7 separate regions of the Mus musculus genome follow, and all the other regions are reported to be linked to region 3. The links are microRNA targets in miRTarBase. Many come from high-throughput screens and were not tested one by one. Region 3 holds a microRNA gene; each other region holds the end of a gene's coding sequence. Distances are from middle to middle.

What was found. Region 3 holds the annotated microRNA mmu-miR-298-5p (GGCAGAGGAGGGCUGUUCUUCCC, at 1,929-1,951, opposite strand). A microRNA usually pairs through its seed, bases 2 to 8, with sites in the 3' UTR of a target mRNA and lowers its output. Matches are read on the target gene's strand: a 7mer-m8 pairs with bases 2 to 8, a 7mer-A1 pairs with bases 2 to 7 and ends in A, and an 8mer does both.
Region 1: the mRNA of Ttc19 is a reported target of mmu-miR-298-5p. Seed matches in the 3' UTR shown: 7mer-m8 at 753-759 and 7mer-m8 at 217-223.
Region 2: miRTarBase lists Nploc4 as a target of mmu-miR-298-5p. Seed matches in the 3' UTR shown: 7mer-m8 at 200-206, 7mer-m8 at 802-808 and 7mer-m8 at 2,820-2,826.
Region 4: miRTarBase lists Ptk6 as a target of mmu-miR-298-5p. Seed matches in the 3' UTR shown: 7mer-m8 at 449-455.
Region 5: miRTarBase lists Galnt13 as a target of mmu-miR-298-5p. Seed matches in the 3' UTR shown: 7mer-m8 at 304-310.
Region 6: the mRNA of Prr23a3 is a reported target of mmu-miR-298-5p. Seed matches in the 3' UTR shown: 7mer-m8 at 1,955-1,961.
Region 7: the mRNA of Cdnf is a reported target of mmu-miR-298-5p. Seed matches in the 3' UTR shown: 7mer-m8 at 747-753.

What each region holds. Positions count from the first base shown.
Region 1 is chr11:62,313,508-62,316,589 of GRCm38, reverse strand. It overlaps Ttc19 (tetratricopeptide repeat domain 19), which reads right to left. Exons shown (of 10, transcript NM_028360.2): 10 at 166-2,580. The coding sequence ends at 2,447. Ncor1 (nuclear receptor co-repressor 1) reads left to right here. Exons shown (of 45, transcript NM_001252313.1): 45 at 1-164. Among named protein-coding and RNA genes, the nearest start is that of Ttc19, 34 kb to the right of the region's middle.
Region 2 is chr11:120,379,577-120,382,658 of GRCm38, reverse strand. It overlaps Nploc4 (NPL4 homolog, ubiquitin recognition factor), which reads left to right. Exons shown (of 17, transcript NM_001195023.1): 17 at 33-2,861. The coding sequence ends at 190. Among named protein-coding and RNA genes, the nearest start is that of Faap100, 2.4 kb to the right of the region's middle.
Region 3 is chr2:174,265,625-174,268,706 of GRCm38, forward strand. It overlaps Mir298 (microRNA 298), which reads right to left and starts at 1,961; the gene lies at 1,880-1,961. It overlaps Mir296 (microRNA 296), which reads right to left and starts at 1,501; the gene lies at 1,423-1,501.
Region 4 is chr2:181,192,859-181,195,940 of GRCm38, reverse strand. Ptk6 (PTK6 protein tyrosine kinase 6) reads left to right here. Exons shown (of 8, transcript NM_009184.2): 8 at 1-817. The coding sequence ends at 172. Among named protein-coding and RNA genes, the nearest start is that of Ppdpf, 7.2 kb to the right of the region's middle.
Region 5 is chr2:55,112,693-55,115,774 of GRCm38, reverse strand. It overlaps Galnt13 (polypeptide N-acetylgalactosaminyltransferase 13), which reads right to left. Exons shown (of 13, transcript NM_173030.2): 13 at 1-2,954. The coding sequence ends at 2,814. Among named protein-coding and RNA genes, the nearest start is that of Kcnj3, 320 kb to the left of the region's middle.
Region 6 is chr9:98,865,212-98,868,293 of GRCm38, reverse strand. Prr23a3 (proline rich 23A, member 3) reads right to left here. Exons shown (of 1, transcript NM_028033.1): 1 at 1,714-3,082. The coding sequence ends at 2,535. Among named protein-coding and RNA genes, the nearest start is that of Prr23a3, 2.0 kb to the right of the region's middle.
Region 7 is chr2:3,523,490-3,526,571 of GRCm38, reverse strand. It overlaps Cdnf (cerebral dopamine neurotrophic factor), which reads right to left. Exons shown (of 4, transcript NM_177647.4): 4 at 196-2,761. The coding sequence ends at 2,583. Among named protein-coding and RNA genes, the nearest start is that of Cdnf, 12 kb to the right of the region's middle.

The DNA of each region.
Region 1 (3,082 bases), not on the chromosome of region 3:
AGAGGGAGGGCTTCAGGAGGTCTGAGTCTCTAGAACCACTGCCCAAGCACCTCTTAGCATCTATCTACACCACAGGTTTCTGATCACTTTTTTATAGATGAAGGTGCAGGCTAGGCATTTGTCCATATAACTCAGCAAGTAAGAAAGACAGACATTTGAGATCTTAAACTTTAGCTATGCATCATAGCACACACCTTTAATCCCAGCACTCAGGAGGCAGAGGCAGGCGGATCACTAAGAGTACAAGGCTAGTCTGGATTACAAGATGAGTTCTGGACCAGCCAGAACAGGATTCTTATCACTTGTAAAGTCATTACCTTTACAATAGTCACAAACATAATGAAGACTAAGTGTTCTGATTAGATTTACTGCTGAAAGTGTCCCCCTGCCAAGTTATAGTCACATAAGTCTAGATCTTATTAGTAAGTCACTTTGTCAACTAGCCCAAAAAATGATGATGATGATGATTGGCCCTGTCTTACTGTGTCAGTCAATCGAGCTTGGTCACCTACTCTTGTAGCTCCTCCTGCAGACTGCTTGTGCTATCTGTGTTCACGACAACACAACATGAAGTCCAGAATCGTTTCTTACTTCAGAACAGAACAGAACCCCACAGTTTACCTAGAGAGGTGGAGGCCGGCTTACCGACGCGGGCAGCAGCAAGTACTGAGTCTGCGACCTCAGCTGCAAATCAAGGCGGGCCAGCACTATATCTGTAACACATGCACATGCAACTAAATCAAGGTCTTCCAGCAGAGGTAATATTCTGACAATTTTCCAGTCTACTTAGTGAGAAATTTTATACTACACTTTAAATTTTCATATGCTGTGATTGTCTTACAAACACTTAAGCCCTGAAAACCCTAGTAACATGGTCTAGTTTAAAACTTTAATATGAAATTAAATGTAAATTGTTTAAAGTTGTAATCAGTAAAAGGAGATGAGTCCCTTTGTCTCACTGCCTTTTTTATAATAGTGCAAACGAATGCTGCTGGGAACATACACAGACTGTGTCCCCAGCCACAGGACATGAGGTCAGTCACCATGGAACATTAAAAAGCCTAACAGCTAACTTGGGTAACTCTGGAATTGTGAAAAAGTAAAAAACATTTTCAAAGCAAAGGTAACTGAACTCTTACCTGGTTATTCATGGTTAGCGGGAAGATCACATGTGGTTAGGAAGTGAATGGTAAATGAACTCAAACAGAATGTGGGGCTCTCCCCACACAACACAGACTCTGCGGTAGCTCTTAGCTCTGAGGACTTGGACCTTAGTATGTCTGTCTAGTAACTTGGCCATTATTTTTCTATGATTCCAAGATTATTAGAATCCATACAATTGCGTAGTCTCTAGTTTATTATAGAGATTCTCCCAGAACAAACACATGAACCAAAGTCCACTGGCAATCGTACTCACACCGCCTACCTCTACCACCAGGGTTCCTTCGTGGCACCCAGAAAAATGTGTTTTCTCTTAGGCAAAAAGCCATTTGCCAGACTGCAAAGGTAAAAGCATCCATCCATGCATCATATATTTATATACTCTGAGGCAGTGATAAAGTCATCAGACAAACAATCTAATTGGTTTCAGACTTCAGAGATTGCAAAATAAAAAAGTAGAGCTAACTAGGATCCAGATCAGAGGCTGCACATTACCCTGAGCACATGGGTGCTGTAAGCATAACTTTACTCCACTCTGTGCCTGTGGTTATAAAGGAAGCCCTGTGTTCAGACAGTGCTGATGAGGGCTTCATTCCTTCTGCCACCATCATTTTTAGTAGTTATATACATACAAACAGATATACAGTCCAAATGTCTCACTTCCACTTTAGTAGTAAGTGCTGCCAATGATGGCCAACTAGAATTATCATTCCCCTTCATAGTCATTAAATCTCATAATGCATCAATAAAATAGTGTGTAAGAGAGCTAACTAAAATCCTCCTGTGTCATGATACAAGTAACTTGTTTGCCAGAAATGGATACAGAAAAGTAAGCATGAATCAAAATCTTATGGAAGGTATAATGACCATATGGTGAGGAACTTGGCCAACTGTAGTCTGTAAATTTCTCAGATGAGCATGGACTGTACCTTATATACAGTCAGTACAGGGTAAAAGCTGTTTCACCTTTAAAAACAAAAGTAGGGCCAGGCACTTTCGAAGCCGAGGGAGGAGTAGTACTCCAAGTTGGAGGCCAACTTCAAGCATATAGTGATTTCCAGGCCAGCCTACCCATAGAGATACCCATCTCAAAGTAAAATAAATTTAGAAACAAAAGTGGCAGTGTATGCAACTTGTCCTTCTCCGAAGCCGAGTTGACGAACGTTGAATTTCAACAATGATTTACACACTGATTGAGGTCCAGACAACGAAGGAACAGTTACTCCTTTGGGATATCAGAGGTTACCCTCTCTACAACAAAATGAACTTCTATAGCTTAACAAAATTAAGTCAAACGTCTACTTTTTCTTGACAGTTCAGCCAATTCTTCCCTGATGTGCTGAACAGAAACCTCATCTCTTTTCAGCTCTGCTCGCTTCAGCGCTTCCTGGTAGATCTCCTTTGCTTGTGTGTATCGCTCTAAAATAACCCAAAGAGAGGGGAGAAGAAAATATGTGTTTTCACCAGGAACCACTAGTGAGGACACTGTATGATGTGCTGGATGCTTCAAAAATGGCATCTAGTGCTGTCTGGTATCCTGCATACATGACAGCTGGGTAAGAGAAGCTGAGCTTACAGTAAGTAGGTGTCAGCTTTAAAAGTACTTAGTGCTGTGGGATTACAGTGGTGTTCCATGCAACAGAGATCTATGATCCCAGGTTTATGGAAACTTTAGAAGCCCTGAGTATTTTGGAATAGCAGGAAACTTGATGCTTTATCATACTGTGGCTTCAGAACACTGAGGAATTATACCTGTTAAAACACTTCAGCATCTGTAAAACACTACAGAGACAAGGACCTATCACTGCAAAGTGTTCTCTGCCGTCATATGGTCATACAGAAATATGACAGTTTAGTGAATTAAGCAAAATAGTACTTTAACACACATGCATTTTTTAACCCTTATTTAGCCAGCCTTTTA
Region 2 (3,082 bases), not on the chromosome of region 3:
CAGGCATGACGTGTTCTCACTTTACCCTACAGGCACCGTTGGTGTGCAGCTCCCAGGCCTCCACGAGTTTGGTGCAGTCGGGGGCTCTGCACGCGCTGCTACCTCTGCCATGTGGGCCTGTCAGCACTGCACCTTCATGAACCAACCTGGCACAGGCCACTGCGAGATGTGCAGCCTCCCCCGGACCTAGGGCTCTGGGCCTCTGCTGCATGGGACTGGGCCAGCCCAGCCCTCTGAAGTCTGGAGCGCCACATGTTCCCTATAAGGCCTGAAGCCCACAGCCCTGAAACAGTGGGGCCAGCTGCCCTGGTATTCCAGATACCCTGAAGCGTCTCCGTGCAGATCTTGAAGAGAAAGAACCTCGGCTGCTGTGCTGGGGTTGAACAGAGCCTCCCACCTGGGAAGGCAGAGCAGACCTGCCCAAGAGCTCCCCACACGCCTCACGTGTTGGAGGGACTGAACACGTCCAGCCAATCACCTGAAATTGGGGTGTACAGAGAGGGTGCTGCTGTCACCCAGCTATCTCTCCTTCCTCTATGATCTTTGTTTTCTGCCTTCCCACCTTCTCCCCCAGTGTTCGGATGAATGTTCCTGGCTGTCTCTGTTCCCTTGCTGTGGGGCTGTGTCCCTCCTTTGGGAGCATGTGTGGCTAGGGTGTGGCAGCCTTTGTCTGACATGCAGTATAGTAGGTCCCTGACCTTTACTTGCCTGAAATCAGCAGTTATCAATAATTCCCACCCAGGAAACTTTTATTTATTGTTTTTTAAAGATAAAACTGCACAGATGGGAGTGAGAGATTTACCTCTGCTCCTTCCTCCTTCAGTGCAGCCCCTCTTGGGTGGTTTATTGGGCAGGAGGCCACCATCATTTCTCCTCAGAAGCAAACCTCAGTGCCTGAGACTTTCCTGCCACGCTGCAGACAGTGGCAGTTGGTAGCATGGGTGGTTCATCAGAGCAGTGGTGGCTCTTGCCTGGCAGTCAGCCCCTTCAAGTCTGGACAGCCCTGGAGTTCTGGTCCCCTCTCCTAGCACTGTACCTTTACCCAGCGAGTCCCCACACTGTGGTCTTCTTGCACAGTGTGTGGCAGTTGAGAAAGCCTAGAAAAGGTGCCCATTTGACCACTGTGAGGCAAATAGAAACAGTCCCTAAGGGTCCTATGTGGCTGTGTTGTGACAGCCCTTACCCAGGTAAGAGATGGATGTCGTGATGCCTCGTTGCCTTAATGAGAGCTGAGTCAGCTGTCCTTCACCCTGGGAAAGTCCATGCCAGCTGTGGACTGCTGGGAGCCATGTTTGTCACCTTAGTAGAATGCACCAATGTTCCCTTCTGCATCTCTGGCCCTGTGGACAGAACACTTATTGCTAGGTTATCTATCGTGTGGCAGGGCTGGCCAGCACCGTTGGGTCTCACCTGGCATGAGATCTGAAGCTAAAGCCCTGGGACTGTGGAGCCATTGGGCTTGGTTTGGTATTGACAGGGTCATCCTGAGGGGTTAGCAGTGGTAGAGAGCAAGGCAAGTGATCTCTCCAGCTACCTGCCAGCAGTAGAGAGAGAGAGAGAGAGTGCTGAGGGCTGGTAGTGTCTCTGGCTAGGGCTTCACCTTTCGGTTTTTTGTTTTTTGTTTTTTCTGGTCCCTGAGTCTGGCATTTCTGTCTGTGACTTAGCTATGTTTCTGATGCCAATCACACTAGCACCATTACATGCTGGGCAGGTGCTGGGCAGCACAGACGCTGGAGACCTGTTTGCCACTGCTTGTCCCCCATTCATCTTTGTCTACAAAGTTAATTACGTTCTCATGTTCTGGCATCCACATAATTCTTGTTTTCTCTGACTTATAGCTAAAGAAATTTTTGTGGTTTCTCTGCTTATGGTTTTGAGTTACTCTTTGTTCAGTAATGCACTTTATTTTATTGTCCAAAGAGAGTCAAGCTAAAGCTACCACCTTGGGGTGAGCCCTACAGAAGGTTCAGACCCGGGCAGCTCAGCTACCTCCTTCTACATGGAGGTGGCCCTGGTCCCACCTCTAATCCCTACTGTCATCAGGCACTACAGCCCAAAAAGAGGTGCTTGTGAGCACACCCACCCAAGTGAACCCAGTGGCTGCCATGGTCCTCTTCAGGCTCAGAGATGGGTCTAGCCCTGGCCTTGCTCTGATCAGCCTGCTCCTGGGGCATGGGTGCTCCCGCTTCTGCTCTGCTTGGGCTCACAGGTATGCACTGGCTGGGTGTGGATGAGTATTTTTCTGACCCCAGCCCTGCAGTGGAACCTAATAAAAGCACCTGAAGCGATTGTCCTGCTCCCAGTGCATTGTTCCTGTGCCCAGAACCACAGTCCACCGGTGTGGCATGGATGTGTTGCCTTGTAAGGACAGTCCTGAGTGTTAGAACCTGGTGTGCAGAAGATAAACTGACGATGCTTCCAACCCTGGAGGTGACTCCGATGCTGCAAAGAATTCATCTCCCACTTGTTTCCACTCAAGGTGTCTTCAGAGCAGCCTGGGGCTTGGGCTCAGATCTGTTTCAGAGACCACTCAGAAATGATAAAATAGGTCCAGGCTTCACCCTTGGGTTAAAGTTGGTTTTTGTTTTTTTGTTTTCACTTAATTTACAGCTGGGCATAGTGGTCTGTGCCTTTATTCCCAGTACTCTGGAAGCACAGACAGGCTACAACTATAAAGCCTAAGAAATAAATATTTGGGGCTGGGGGGTGTCCAGTTCCAGACAGAGCTTTTTGTTTTTTGTTTTGTTTTGTTTTCATAAGCGTTGCTGTTGTAGAACTAGCTTTGTAGACCAGCCTGGCCTTGAACTCAGATCCACCTGCCTCTGCCTCCTGAGTGCTGGGATTAAAGGTGTATACCACCACACAGCTTTTATTTATTTAATCGTATGCTTTTGTACACATAAATACCTTAGTAAAAGATGTAGGAGCCCCTGGAGCTGTTGGGGGTTGTGAGCTTCCCTATGTGGATGCTGGGAATCAAACTTGGGTCTTCTGCAAGTACAGCGTGTGCTCTTACGGCTGAGCCGTCTCTCCAGCCCCAGGATGTTGTTCTGACATCTACACTAGGGTTACACTATGCTCT
Region 3 (3,082 bases):
AAGGGTACACATGACTAGAGCTAAGGACCCCAGGGGATCCTTGCTCAGAGAGCAGCTGCCCCTTATCCAATTATGTTTTCTCCCAGAGTCTCTCCTGACACATGTGGTGATTTTTGCAGTTCTTGATGCCAACCATTCTCTCCCACTAGTAACACAGCCAGGAGAGTCTTACCTCTTTGTCAAGACAATGGCTACAGACAAGGAAGAGGGTGGGAAGATGAGTGGCAGGTAACACTAAGAAGGAGGCTCAGTGCAGAGGAGTGTTGGAAAAGCAGAAACAGCAGGCCTGAGGACAGCGGCCTATGGCTGGTGAGTGAGTAGCTTGTTGGGGCTTCCCAAAGGAAGAGAACTGAAGTTTATAGAATTCATATCTGAGGGTTTTACTCTAGCTTCTGCTCACGAGACGGCTGATACACAGCCTCCCATTTGGGCTTCACAGCCTTCACTCCCTGTTTAGTGCTTAACCTGCACTATTGGTTTGAATCTTCTTCAATGTCTCTCTATCCATCCATCCACCCACCTACCCGCGCATCTATCCACACACTCATCTGTTCCCCCTCCTACCCCCCATCCCTCCCTCCCTCCCTCCCGCCCTCCCTCTATTCAGAGTTTACTGTACTCTAAATGAAAGGTGCTCCAGCCCTCTTGCAGTTGAGTTAAATCTAATTAATGGGAAGAGACACTAAGAAGCAAGATCAAGCCAGGTGTGTGCTAGAAGCAAGCTGGTGAAGTGGGATGAGTGATGGGCACACCAGGCAGAGCTGGGTAGAGCGCAGAGCACAGATGAGAACAACACCAAACAATCTTTCTTCGTGAATTTATTAGGCAGATACTGTGTCACACTTGGGAGAGGCTGGGTGTGAGTAACTCAAAACTGGGTGCCTGACACCCTCCCCCCCCAGCTCAGTCTTACAGGGGTGGTTCACCAAAATGCCTTCTAGACTGGACACAGCAGTTTATGCCAGAAATGCTGGAGTCTAAGGCATAAGGATTCCAAGTTTTAAGGCCAGTATGGATAATTCAGTGAGATCTTGTCTCAAAAATAAATAAATAAATAAATAAAAAAGGGGGGCTGCCATGAAGACCGGTGTGGATCTGACTGATGTCCATCCCACTCCTGTAGGAAAGAAAAGATAAGTGAAAGGAAAGCAAACAACCACATCAAGGAAGGTCTGGTGCTAGGAAGCAAGTTTCCCAGCCAAGGATACAGAAGAGTAGGGAGATACTACACAAGGTGGTACAAGCCCAGGGAAGCAGGGCACTATTAGCCTAGAGCAGACAGGGTGGGGTCAGGTCTCTGGTACCCCATGAGCACTAACTGGGGGGCAGGACTAGTCTAGCAGAGGCTGCCACTGGGATCAAGCCAAAGACAGCAAGCATTCTCTAGAGCCCCAAGGGACTACTTACCATGCGACGCTCTGCGGACACCTTCAGGAGAGCCTCCACCCAACCCTCTGAAGCGAGCACAACAGGATTGAGGGGGGGCCCTCCAGAAAGGCCCTCTTGTCACCTTCCACATAGGCTGTTCTGTGTGCACACAGATGGAGATCCCCTCTTAGGGGCCCTGCCTCTGTCTCCCCAACCCCAAGACCCTAGGAGGGTCTCTTTCTGTAGTCTCGAATGCCCACTAACCTGGATCTTGGCCCGCTCACCCGCTTCCCAGCTACGTGCGCTCAGAAGCCACTGCATCGACAATGGGAAGGTGGCAGTCTTAGTAGTAGGCTCAGGGCATTATGACAAGACCTCAAAGTTCTCCATGGCTTTTAGAAACATCTATCTCTGACTCCACCAGCTACCTTGATGGGTGGGGGAACTTAGAGGATGAGTTCCGTGTGTCAACCAGCAACATTCTCCTGGAGATCGGAAGGAAGCTGTTGGCCCACTCCTAAGCTGAGAGAAGGCTAGTTCCTCCCAGTCATAAAACTCAAGGGAAGAACAGCCCTCCTCTGCCAAAGGCCTGGGCCTCTTATGCCTCTTGGTGTCTCTTTCAAGCACGGCAGGAACGTCCCAGCCTACCTCAAATAGCTGTGGTGCTCAGGAAGCAGTCAATTGGGCAGGAGCTAGTTAGTGGGGGTCCAGAGACACTCATCTCATGGCCAGATCTGTCTATGACCACTCCATCCAATGGACTCACTCACTTGCATGTAGTAGCACAAAGAGGGCCATGGTGTGGCAAGTATCCTGTACAGTAAACCCTCTTGTTCTATCAAGGTGCCATTATGAACCAATCAAACCATTTCTAAGCAGCCCTGTAGATTCCCACGCTCCAAGAAGGATCCACCTTGCTGGGCCTCTGCTCCAGCAAGACCCACCTCCCAACTCAAATGCCCCACCCCATGGGTGCTGACTGGGTCTCTGTGAGGTGAAAAATCAATCCATACCTGAGGAGGAAGAACCCCCAAGTTCTCCTACTTAGCAAACCTTTTCCTCAGGACTGAATGTTGTGCTCACAGCAGAAGCAGCTGAAGAAGTGCAGGCTCCAATCCTTGAGGCTCCCCATCACACAAGGCTTCAAAGGCAGGACTGTGCTGAGAGCTCAGAGGTGCTTAGAACAGAGAGATGGGGTAGGGAATGTTAAGACATAAACAAAACAGACACACAGCCGCTAAGGTCATAGTTTTAAGCTCTTCAACTTAATGGTTCTGTCCTAGTAGCCAAACAGCCATCAGAAGACATATTTATGGGCAATCTTTTGGCTACTGTCTGACCATGTGAGACACAAGAGCCATGTTTTTGAAAACACAGGTCCTTTTCTAATGAATGCAGGTCGTTAACGAAATAGGCTTGGAAGTCATCTTCTAAGGCCTTTGTCCATGACCCTAGACAAATCATCTTCCCAGAGTTCACTTGTACGGGGCCCTCAGCCAGGGCAAGCACTGAGGACAAGAAATCAAGTCTAGAGACTTCAGAAAAGGCTTCCTTTCTCTTTTCTGAAACTCTTTGGTTGAGCAGAGAAGAGAGACGGAGCAGAGCCATCATGCTCCCACGGGTGCAGTAGAGCAACAGTGGGAGGCAGAAGCAAACAGAAGAACAGTGAGGCCCATCACAGAAAGACACATCTGATGGACACCCACCCACCCTT
Region 4 (3,082 bases), 6.9 Mb from region 3:
AACCTTCCTGAGGGTGGATGCCGGCTACCGCATGCCCTGCCCTCTGGAGTGCCCACCCAACATACACAAGCTGATGCTCAGCTGCTGGAGCAGAGACCCCAAGCAGAGACCTTGCTTCAAAGACCTGTGTGAGAAACTCACAGGTATCACCAGGTATGAGAACCTGGTCTGAGCTCCTTGGACGTGGCCAGGACCCACAGAAGAGGGCCTCGTGATTATCCTGGACTTCTATTGAAGGCATGAACCATCCTTCAGTTTACTGAGATGAAGGGATAGGAAACATACCAAACATACCTCAAATACTGCGTTTTGTCAAGGAAAGAGTAAAGAGGCTCCTTTCCCTTTTTTGGGGGGGGGGGGTTTCGAGACAGGGTTTCTCTGTATAGCCCTGGCTCTCCTGGAACTCACTTTGTAGAGGAGGCTGGCCTCAAACTCAGAAATCTGCCTGCCTCTGCCTCCCAAGTGCTGGGATCAAAGGCGTGCGCAACCCGGCTTCCTTTCCCTCCTCCAGGAGGCAATACACAAAATCCAGAAAGTCACTCTCTGGCTTCTTCCTCCCTTCTCCTGTGAAGACTTCATGTGACAGAGAAGCCAAGAAGAGTCTAGGCAACAGGCCTTGTGGAGTTCTTTTCATACCACTTTTGGAGCTTGACTGTCCACAAACACATACCCTACCCTTTAGCACCTTAATTCTGCAGGATCTTATGCCACATACAACCCAGAACAAGTTTACATGATTTTCTCTTTATAACCTTGGTTTTGTTGGAGGATCCTCACCTAGAAAGTTGAAGACAGAGATAAATGGATATGAAATTTCTGCTTTGTGGTTTCCGGTGCCCAGTGGGGAGTGAGTGCTTGAGATACCCAATCACCTGGGGTCCGCAGAAGCAGAGGGAAGACGATGGAGTCAGTAAGAGCCAGGAGATTTTCTTGTTTGCTTTTTCCAAGACAGGTTTTCTCTATGTAGCTCTGGCTGTCCAGGAAGTCATTCTGTAGACCGGGATGGCATTAAATTCACAGAGATCCACCTGCCTCTGCTTCCCAAGTGCTGGGATTAAAGGCATGTGCTACTGTTGTTGCCTGGCAGAGCCAGGATTCTTAACCATGTGGGCAGAGGCAGCTCTTCTGCATCTCTGCCCGAGGCTCTGCACTTGTTTCTAAAGTCAAACTCGGTCTGAGCTTGTGAGTCTGGTGTTTACTTTCAGAGCTCCGTGTCCTTTCCCTTCAGAGATGCTTTTGCCCTGGGTTCCTGAGGCAGGATACCCTTATATCCTGTGCCATCCTCTGATTCCCATTTGGACCCGAGTTTTCCAAGATGGCTCTGGTCCAAGGCTGCTCTCCCTCATGTGTCTTCAGTGCTTTTGAACCCATACTTGACCCATAAAGGCTAGACAGGCTATCTGTTCTCCATTTCATCTCCTTATGTACTTGGAGATTAGAACCCCAGTTCTGAGGGGGAGTATCCCAAAAGCACGTACCCGAGGCTACCTGACTGGAAGTGGGCATAATTCTCTGATGACATGTCTACAGCCACGTCCAGATTGCCCTCTCACAACAGGTGAAGATGCCGCAACCTTCCTTACAGAAACATCCTCTCTGTATCCTAGAGATGACACTTTCTGTACTGCTTCCTGTAAAGCAGCTCTCTGGGATGTAACGTCGTCACTAGATAGGGAGAGCACAGGAAAATGTTTGGAAACAGGGCAAATGAAAACCTTTGAATAAAGTCTTTTGCATAGACATTCATCAAAAATTTCCCCTCTCTCAGTAACTGAACCTTTCATTTTCACCAAGAACAGAATTTGGACTGGGCTTGGTGGTGCACATCTTTAATCCTAGCACTTGAGAGACAGAGGTAGGCAGATCTCTGTGAGTTCCAGGCCAGCCTGGTCTATGTAGCAAATTTCAGGGCAGCCAGAGCTACACAGGGAGACCCTGTTTCATAAAAACAAAAATAAATAAAAAAGAACAAAATTTGTATAAAAATCCAAGTGGACATAAACTGAATCAGGACTAAACGTTCTAAAATTAAAGCTATAGGGACCGTGTACATTTGGCTGTTTGTAGAGTCCTTCCCCCAGTTATAGAGGGGACAACCCTGGTACACTTCTTTAATCCCAGCACTTGTGAAGCAGATTCAGGTATATCTGTGTGTTTGGGAGCAGCCTGGTCTACAGAGTTCTAACATGCAAAGAGTGACCCTGTCTCAAAAACAAGGAAACAACAAAATAAAAAAAAAAAAACAAAAAAAAAATCTCTTACAGTTCTGTTTGGACTGGTCTAGAGATGAGTGCTCATTAAATATCCCTAAAATCTCTCAGAAATATAGAAACAAAGTCAAATGTTCTTAAAGATCACATGATCTAGAATAATGTAAAATAAAAAACAGGAATGTTTCCAGACCTGTCCAACATGAACACAGTATAGCTAGACCAGTTGTTCTCACCTTCCTAATTCTGCGACCCTTTAATGCAGTTCCTCATATTGTGGTGACATCTAACCATAAAATTACTTTTGTTGCTACTCCGTAACTGTAATTTTGCTACTGTTATGAATTATGAATATTTTTGGAGATAGAATTCCCTTTTGTCAAAGAGGTTACAACCCAAAGGTTGAGAGCTACTGAGATAGACTTTTTTTTTCTTACCAGGGTTTAAACAAGTTTCATTCTACTGAGTATTTAAAATGCTAAAAGGAGAAATGAAACCCAAGGGTAGAATAGAGGAAGGGACGAAGGGGATGGTCTTGCTTTTGTGGTGTTGGTGACATTTGCCTGACTTGTTAACAAGAGCAATTTTAGTGCTGATACCTTGTAACACGCCTGTAACTGTTGAGTGGACAGAAATGTAAGTGGAGTGAAAGCTAAATGAACTCCTCAACAGTAATTTTAATTTATAAAAAGCATCCCACAACCTTAAGTTTGTTCAGGCTTGAGAGATGTAGTTAACAAATCAGCTTTGGGGTCATTCCTAAGGAAACAAGCTTAGGCTGATCTGCTATGGCCTCCTGTTTTTACACAGAATGGAGGTAGTTGTGCTTGGGTCTATAGTATGCAGAGCTGTGCAATGAAGGGCATCCTACT
Region 5 (3,082 bases), 120 Mb from region 3:
AAACAGAAAAAAAAAAAAAAAAAACATAAATAAATGTGATTATATGGCCAAGTGTGTGTTGGTGTATGAGACTGGAAGAAATTGAAATAAGCAAAAGAATAATCTTAGATTTGCTCAGAGAGATAGGAATGAGAGACTACAGGCAGGACAAGCATTTGTTGTACTGAAGAGGTCATGTTTGTATAGAGACCTAAAGAAATAAGTGAATGATATCTTGGGACTGATAGAACCAACAGTAAAACAGACTTGTTTGGCAGCCAGAACAATGTAATGAAATGCAAGACAGTAAGAGATAAAAAAAAGGCAGAGGTCTCTCTCTCTCTCTCTCTCTCTCTCTCTCTCTCTCTCTCTCTCTCTTTCTCTCTCTCTCTCTCTCTCTCCCTCTCCATCTGTCCAAGGTATGTGTATATGTTTGTTGAGTGTTTTGTTCTGGGTATAGAGACACAATGGCTATGAAATGATTTGAGGATTAATGGGAAGATTATGTTCAGGAAAATACACAAATTCATACATAATAGTATCTATGTGACTCTTGTATTAAGTAAACAAGTGTAGCATTGGGTAAGACTTGGCATGAATAGAGAATTATAATATATGCATATTTCTTATGATTTAGTCAGAAGGAGCAACCCACAATGGTTGTGGCCCCAAATTGTTGGTTTGCTGTTATATGTCAAAGATAGCATCAAGTTACTTTTAAGATGGTTAGACTCAATTTGTCCAAAGTTTTACATTGCAATAATGTTGTTATCTACAAAAATAAACACTTGGTATCAAAACAGTGTGAATATCCAAAATGAAAATTTAAAACAAGTTTAAATTTTGTGTTGGACCAAGATCCTAGTTAACTTTGACATCAGGCAGTTTCATGAAGTCTGTAAGCTACAGTTAGAACAGGCTTGAAAAGTTTGAAAGACATTATCACTTGATTTTGGGGACAAAGTCTCTCATTTGATTGGGAGCTTGTCCATGAGGACAACCTGGCTGGTGAGGAAATTCAAGAAATTCTCTTTTTTTTTACCTCCCCAGTATTAGAGTTACAAGTACATCCTCCCACATCTAGTGGTTATTTAGCTTGGAATCAGCATCAGTTCCTCTTGGTTGAGGGGCAAACACCTACTGAGTGAGCAAGCCCTTATCCCAGTTTCATAGTTTTGACTTGAGCGTCCAGAAGGTGAAACATGCATTTGTTCTGATGAGAAAGACCACTGAAATGGGTAGACTTGTGCAGTATGAAAAATATAATAGCCCAACTCAGGTGTGTGTGTGTGTGTTTGTGTGTGTGTGTGTGTGAGTATATGTGTATGTGTGTACACATATGCATGTGTGTGTTTGTGTTTGTGTAAAAGAGAGACAGTAATAGAAACAGAGAAAGACAGTGACAATAGACAGAGGAGAGAATCAGTGAAAAATGGAGAGAGAGGAGAGAGAAAGAAAGCAAGTGTAGCAAGCTCATTAACTCTTTTTATAGAAGATCCTTTAAAATAAAAGGTCAAAAGTATGGACTTTCTGTTCCTGAAGAATCTTCTAGCTTCACCCCCATAGAGTTCCTCCAGCTGCTAGATATACAACCAAAACATACATGTACAACAACTATGTGGCCACCTAAAATGGTAGCAAACATATAACAATTATTACTGTCCCATGAATTGGTAGGTTTTCCTTTTTCATATAATTAGTCCATGCACTGTGAACAAAGGGGTTTTATGTGGAAATGACACACGAAATTGTCCTAATTATGACAGCCATAGTTTATGCAAAATCATGTCTAGTAGTTTAATTAATATAATTTTTAATAACTCCAATTTTTCCAGTGACCAATGTTGGATTTTATAGCATAGCAATAGATTTTGAGTGCCATTCTTTTTATAGAATGCAAAGTGCCAATGACCGCACTGACTGAACTAAAAGGGATAGTACTTTAGAAATTAAATCTAAAAGGTCACTCTTCACCTACAGTTCTGTAGGCTGTGACAAATCTCACCCTCTGGAGTGAAGGGCAAAGATACAGCTGATGGACAAAAACTCTCTGTATGGAGACAGGGAGAAACTGGGGATTCAGGTCCTGATATCACACCTCAGAGCAAGACCGTCTTCAGCTTGTGTTCAGAATGAAGATTCTTTCACAGCAACTCTTGTAGTTTATATAGCTCTTGTTTTCCTCAATACCTCATGTACTCCTTACATCATTTGATTTAAATTTATTATTATAAATAGGTTTTAAAAATTCTTTTCTTTATTTTGTATGATGATTTTTATTTTACAAATTCAATAACTAGCTTAATTATTTTCCTACTACCTTATATTTTGTTTGATGAATTCAATGTTCAGGAATGATTTCATATGGATTCTAATTGTTGGCATAGAAATTCAACCAGGGTCCCATGAAGCTTTTGTAAAAAAGAGTGTTTTATAAAGCTACATTAATATTTTATAATTATGATATTGTATAAGGCTTTACATGATCTCTCTTTTAATTATTATTACAACACAAAATAAACCAATTCCAAATAACCCTGTGACAAGAGGTTATTGAAGACATTTTAAAAGTAAATACAAGGTGTGTTTTTCCCAAACAGTTCAAATGTTTAATAACAGTTTCTTATTATTTATATTTTATGTGCTTCTTTAATCAGATACAAATTTTAGTAGGGAAATAAACATTCCTAAAAATGAATTATAAACAATTGTGTTTTATATTACTAAAAGTATTTTTTAAACTTTTAATTCAGAAAAGTTAATACTTTCACCAAACTAAAATAATGGACAAACAAACATGTAGAGACTTTCACATCTTGGGAAAAAAAATATCTTCATGTCCCCAAGGTCATGTTCCTCAGCAGCCATTGTTGGGATCTGCTGCCACTGCAGTCCTGCATGGTAGGCACCATTTTGTCTTCTTCAGAAGGTTCATCAAGACATTGGTTACTGTTAGCATGTCTCAAAGTGAGTCTCTGTAAAAGATAACCACAATCAGGAACTTACTGATTCATTAGATGAAGGCTGCTCTCTAAAAGTAGTCTATATAATTTTAATGTATAGAAATGTAACATGCTTTTAAACAGAACTGTGTATGAGTCTT
Region 6 (3,082 bases), not on the chromosome of region 3:
CTGACTAAGGCAGTGTGTGAGATTTTAGGTAAGTGATAATTCTCAACATCCACAGTCAACTACATTCAGCCAAGCCAAATAGAAATAATATCGTCATAGACACATTATAATCAAACTATGTGACACGAAAACCCAACAAATATTTGAAGTAAAATGAAGGCAGATGTGGCTTTTACAGATTTTACACACCTGTAATCCTGGGACTTGGGAGGCTGAAGCAGGAGGGTGGGGACTTCCGGACCAGCCTGGACTACACAGAACTTGTCACAAAACAAAAGCAGGCCACGAATAAAACACTTCAAACCCTTAAAACTAAGATGTACAATACCCCCACATATAAAATAGTGATATTTTGATTGGTTGGTTACACAACCATTTAGATAAAAAGATGGTGAAACACTGGATTAATAAATTTAAAGTAGTCAAATATTATGCTAGAGAAACTACATTTAGGATCAAGGGCTGAGGGGAGAGATGGGGAAGAGACGCCTCACCCTCCACAATGGTGGCTAGAAACCTCAAGTCAGTCCAAGGGACATGCTAACAAGATGGATGAAGTTTCAGACAGAAACAAATGAAAAGGGAGAAGAAAGTGCTAGAAGCTGAAAGGGAAGCCTGCAGGGAAAGGCCCTGGCCACAGGTGGAATTAAGAAGACTGGCATTAAAAACTAGTTTTTATTTATTTATTTTTGGTGTGAATACTGATGACCCTCCATTCAGTCTGCTTTCATTTAAGTTTCTGGATGCCCAGCCAGTATTTTTTTTTTTTTCCAAATTCTTCCACCAGTATCTGGAATGTAGCATTGTGTTGGAGTCCACTGTACATTTAAGAATTATACAGTGGTTTATTGTCTATTTATTTCCACTTGGCCATTCCTATTTCACGTTTAAATAAAATGAGTACGGAATGAAACATTTTCAAGCATAAAATCCTAAGAGTTTTTGGACTATAGAACCAAGGCAGGACAGACATAATGGAGATAATTGTTAAATAAATAAATATACATATACATATACATATATATATATACACACACACACACACACACACACACACACACACACACACACATACATATAACTGTTAAAGCCTATCTCTGGGGCTGGTGGGATGGGATCATCAGGCAGAAGTACTCACTCTACAAGCCTGACAATTGGAAGCCTGATAACTGATCTCCTGAGTCCACGGTAGAGGGAGAGAACTGACTCCCAAGTTGTCCTGTGATTTTTCACAGGTGTGTTGTGGCAGACACTCGATGACACGCATGGTCCTGGGCTCACACACAAATCACACACACTCAGTCAAATACACATCAATGATAAATTAAACAATAAAAAAAAGTTGTATGTAAGAGCTACACTCTGGCCAATAACCTTAGCTTCTAGGGTGGCTCCTGTGGAGGACTTCATTTTCAAGGTGGGTCTGGGCTACAGAATGAGTTTAAAGCTAACCCAAGCAGCTTAGTGAGACCCTGTCTCAAAATAAAGAGTAAGTAAGGAGAGAGCTAGGGATGTACATGTATTTGAGCGCTTGCCCAGTATGTGTGAGATCCTAGGTTAAATCTGTATTAATGCAAAAAGAAATTAAAAGCAGATTAGTAGTAGCAAGATAAAAATTGAGGTTAGCCTGAGAACAAAGAGGGAATTTGGTAAAATAGGTTGACAAAACTGAACAGCTAAAAGCTGAACAGCTATGATTTTTGACTCACCTTTACCAGGGACATTTATTTTATTTTTATAAAACAAGATAAATATGACCATTGCATACAAAACATTACAAATTAGGTTTATAAGAGCAAAAATTGGTTCAGAATTTAAAACAAAACAATAACGTGGAATAATAGTAATGTAAACATTTTCCACCAGTTTAGGTGAAATCTTGAAGCGAATGTACTATAAAAAGAAACCCAAGCCTGGCAGAGTGGCGCAAGACTTCGATCCCAGCACTTGGGAGGCAGAGGCAGGTAGATCTCTGCGAGTTCAAGACCAGCCTCTATTACATAGTTCTAAGAAAGCCACAGATTTCTAATGAGATCCTGACTAATCACAAACTAAACAAAGATTAAAAAACAAAGAAAACAAATGCATATCCCAGCGCATGCTGAAAACAGCCGGCAAACTTCACCATGAATCACACTTACAATGAAGGAACTGAAATGGGAGACTATTCCAAGGAGCTTTGGAGATGGCTTTGAACCCTGTACATGCAAGTGAGGTAACCATTATAGCACATGATGGTGTTGGGTAGTTTTCTAGGAGAGTAGCCCGGAACAACAGAGAGGTAGATAAGTCGTGTCCAAATCCTCAAAAATTCACGGGAAAACACTAAAGGCCACCAAGAACTTAAGACACCTACTAATTTCTTTGTTAGAGAAGAAACAGGTGTTGGGGATTTTACCACTTGAATTTCTAGGAACTTTTAGGGCCTCGGGAAGAGTCCTTTGGGTCAGCAAGGCTTTAATTCTAACATCATGGGGCCTAAGTGCCTTGCAACTAGGGGTAGAGAAGCCCCTCAAAGATTTGTGCAGGGCAGTTCATTCATAGACCAGTCGCTTCCGGGCCCTGCGAGGAGCCCGGGGAGAGCATGGAGGGCATGGCGGAAGCTGCTCTTGGGGATTCCGGGAAGGAGATGGAGGCAGAGGCTGCAGTGGTGAGCCAGGGAAGGGTCCCAGCATGTTGATGTCCAGTTCCCAGATGAACCTAGGAGAATATTGCTCTGCTCCAGTGGAAGGCCCTGGGACTTGGTCCTGAGACAAAGGACTGGGCACCCCTGGGATGGAGGAAAAGTTCCCATTGGCCTGATCATCTGGAGGGCTAGCCCAGTGCTCCAGAAATTCCAAGTCTGCATCCTCATCACAGACATCCTCTTGGTAGAAGTACTCACAGAAAGTTTCCTCCTGGAGACCGACTAGATGATCCTGGGGCCCGTCCTGGGCAGCGGCTCCCTGCGGGCTGATGGCCACGAATCCAGGCTGTCCAAAATGGGTGGAGTCTTGGAGCCCCTCGGGGACCAGGAGGATGGTGTGTCCTTGGAGCGACACTTGCAGTACCGAGGTGGGCTCTGGCTCCAGCAGCAGGTCGA
Region 7 (3,082 bases), 170 Mb from region 3:
GTGAGAAAACTGAATTCCAGAGACAATAACCACCGTGGACCGTCTGTTCTATTAGTATTTTTAGTTTCATTTTGCGTTTGCGCAACCTCCATATCTCCTTGGGAACCACTACTTCTCTAACAAACTCACGTTTACCCCAATTGCTTAGCTGAAAATGCATTCCCTTGCACCATTTAAAAATAAACCTTATTCTGTCAATGTATATTTATTATCTGAATTTAAGTTATTCTCTACTCTACAAAAAAGATGGCTATGAGTACATTTGATTATTTAAAAGAACAGTTGCTTTTAATCAATTAATTTTGGGTAATTTTCAAATAGCTCCTACAACTTTTTATGAAATAGAATTGATGTACAATAGAATACCCACATCTTAATTGTACCTCTATATCAATATGATGATCATATCTCTCACCTCCTGCCTTGATAAAGTACAGTCCCATCACCCCAGAAACTTTAAAGAGAATGCTTTCTTGAGTAGCCACACCCTGACCTATTTCCCAAAGGCAACCATTTAACCATGTGCTTCTTATTGATCTATGGACAGAGAATGGAGCTGAAACATTGCCTGCTTCTTAAGACTGATAGGCTAGCATTAGAAACCACAAGCGCCCCTGCTGCCTGCACGTGGGGAGCATGCTTTCATCCTGCCTGACACGGGGCAGTGAAGAAGACTCTGAGCTTGGGTCACGTGGCAATTCAAGGTGGTTACAAGCCGGGCGTGGTGGCGCACGCCTTTAATCCCAGCAGAGGCAGGCGGATTTCTGAGTTTGAGGCCAGCCTGGTCTACAGAGTGAGTTCCAGGACAGCCAGAACTATACAGAGAAATCCTGCTTCAAGAAAACAAAAAAACAAAAAAACAAAAAACAAAAAACAACAACAAAAAAAGGTAGTTATAAATAGGCCAAGCACAGACTTTTTATGGATTGCTGATTTGTATTCTTCCGATCAGTTTTCTTTATATGAGAAACGGAAACTTCCATTCGTGCTGTGCAATGCTTAATCGCCATTGTTAACTTGGTGGAATTTAGAATTGCCTAGGTGACACATACCTCTGGGCACGAGTGGGAGGGCGTTGCTAGAGAGAGTTTAACTGTGGAAGGAAGACCCCATCCTGAATGTGAGCAGTGGCATTCCCGTGCTGGGGTCAGACTGACAGCTAGCAGAGCATCTACTTCCATCTCTGCTTCTAGGACATGGATGAGTTTGACCAATGGCCTCACACTCCTGCTGCCGTGATGAACTGTAATCTCAAACCATGAACTAAATTAACTCCTTTCTCGATTGTTTTTTTAGGTATTTTGTCTCAAGAGCCTATAAAGTAATGAATGCTTCCCTCCTTGCTGTGCAAAAGAGAGAAAATATTTAGAGTGAATGAAGTTTTTTAAAAAATCTATTTTTAAAAAGCAAAATGAAACAAGAACCTTCTGAACTATGTTAGGTGGTTATTGAGATTGAAGTCGCACATTAGATAAGCTATAGTTTCTGTTATGCACTCTTTTTAAAAACCTTGACCAAAGAGATGCCTCTTGTCTCTTTCCTTCCTTAAAATGTATTATCCCATCATATCCATAGCACACTTGAGTCAGTAGTGATAAACTACATTGTCCTTCTGCTGTGCCTTGGATCTGAACTGTCCTCCTCCAGCTCAGTTTTTTGTTTGGTTTGGGTTGTTTGGTTGTTTGGTTGGTTCATTGGTTGGATTTTATTTTAGTGTTTGTCTGTTTGTTTGTTTGTTTGTTTGTTTTTCAAAACAGTGTTTCTCTGTGTGACCCTGGCTGTCCTAGACTCACTTTGTAGACCAGGCTGGCCTCAGACTCACAGAGATCTGCCTCCAGACAGAGTGCTGGCATTAAAGGCATTCACCACCACACCTGGCATCGGTTTGATTTGAAGGTTTGTTCCCTAGCTAGTGGTAATTTGGGGAAACTGTGAGGTGGGTGTCTGACTGACAGAAGTGGATGAATAGGGCTATCCCTTTGAAGGTTACAGCCTTATCATTATTTGGACATCACTTTCTGCCTCTCTATAATCACAACAGCCTCTATGACAAGCTCTTGTCGCCCTGCTCTGAGCTGTGCTGCCCTTAGCTACCCTGCTGTGATGGACCAAATCCCTGAGCCCAAGTGACTCTTCCCTCCCCACACTTGTTTCAGTTACCTGGCAACAGCAAGGTAGCCCAGCCCACTATAAAGGGGGCTGCTTGGCCCTTCCTCTCTCTCTTTAAGCCCTCACCTTTCTTACTCTCATCTCTAGCCCTCTTTCTCTCACTCCCTTCCCCCTCTCTCCATGTGGCCATGGCCAGCCTCTCTCAATAAGCATTATTGTCATAGCAATGCAAAGGCAACCACTGCATCCTCCAAGAAGGATGAGAAAAGCACCTTGAGGTCTCTGTGCTCTGCAATTTTAGCGACCATGAGGAAGCACGGGTTGATCATATGCCTAAACAACACAACTCCACAATACAACAGCAAAACTGACGGCCAACTGGGCAGTCCCTGGTTAGCCCTAACCAGCACACTCTCATCTTAGACAGTCATTTTCTTCTAACTGCAGTCCATGCTTCCTGACAGCCGACGGGGTCAGAGCTCCGTTTGGGGGTATATCTCTACATATTTGGGGGCCAGCTCTCTAATGAGGTTCACGTAGTCACTTTTCTCCGCACATGCCCTGCACTCTTCCCCCCATCTCTGAAGGATCTGCTTTAGCTCTGCCACTCTCATCTTCCACAGGTCCACCGACGCCAAGTCCAGCTTCTTCCCTAAATGCCAAAAAAGAACACACAGTTGAATGACAAACCCAAAATCTCATAAAACTCCATTCCCCTTCAGTGTGAGACAACTCCCTTTCCCATGGGGACCAAGACATACCCAATGAGAATGTGATATCACCAGTCAGCCTGCACCCTGGGTTCTCAGTGCTTAAAGGCTACCAACCATAGACCAACAATATTCAGGGATGAAAATGCCAAATCTGTGTTAAGCATAGACAGAGGTTTTTCTTTTTTCTTTATCTTTTTGTCATAAACCACTTAACAACACAGTATAACAACCATTTGCTGGCTGGCAAGATGGCTGGCTCA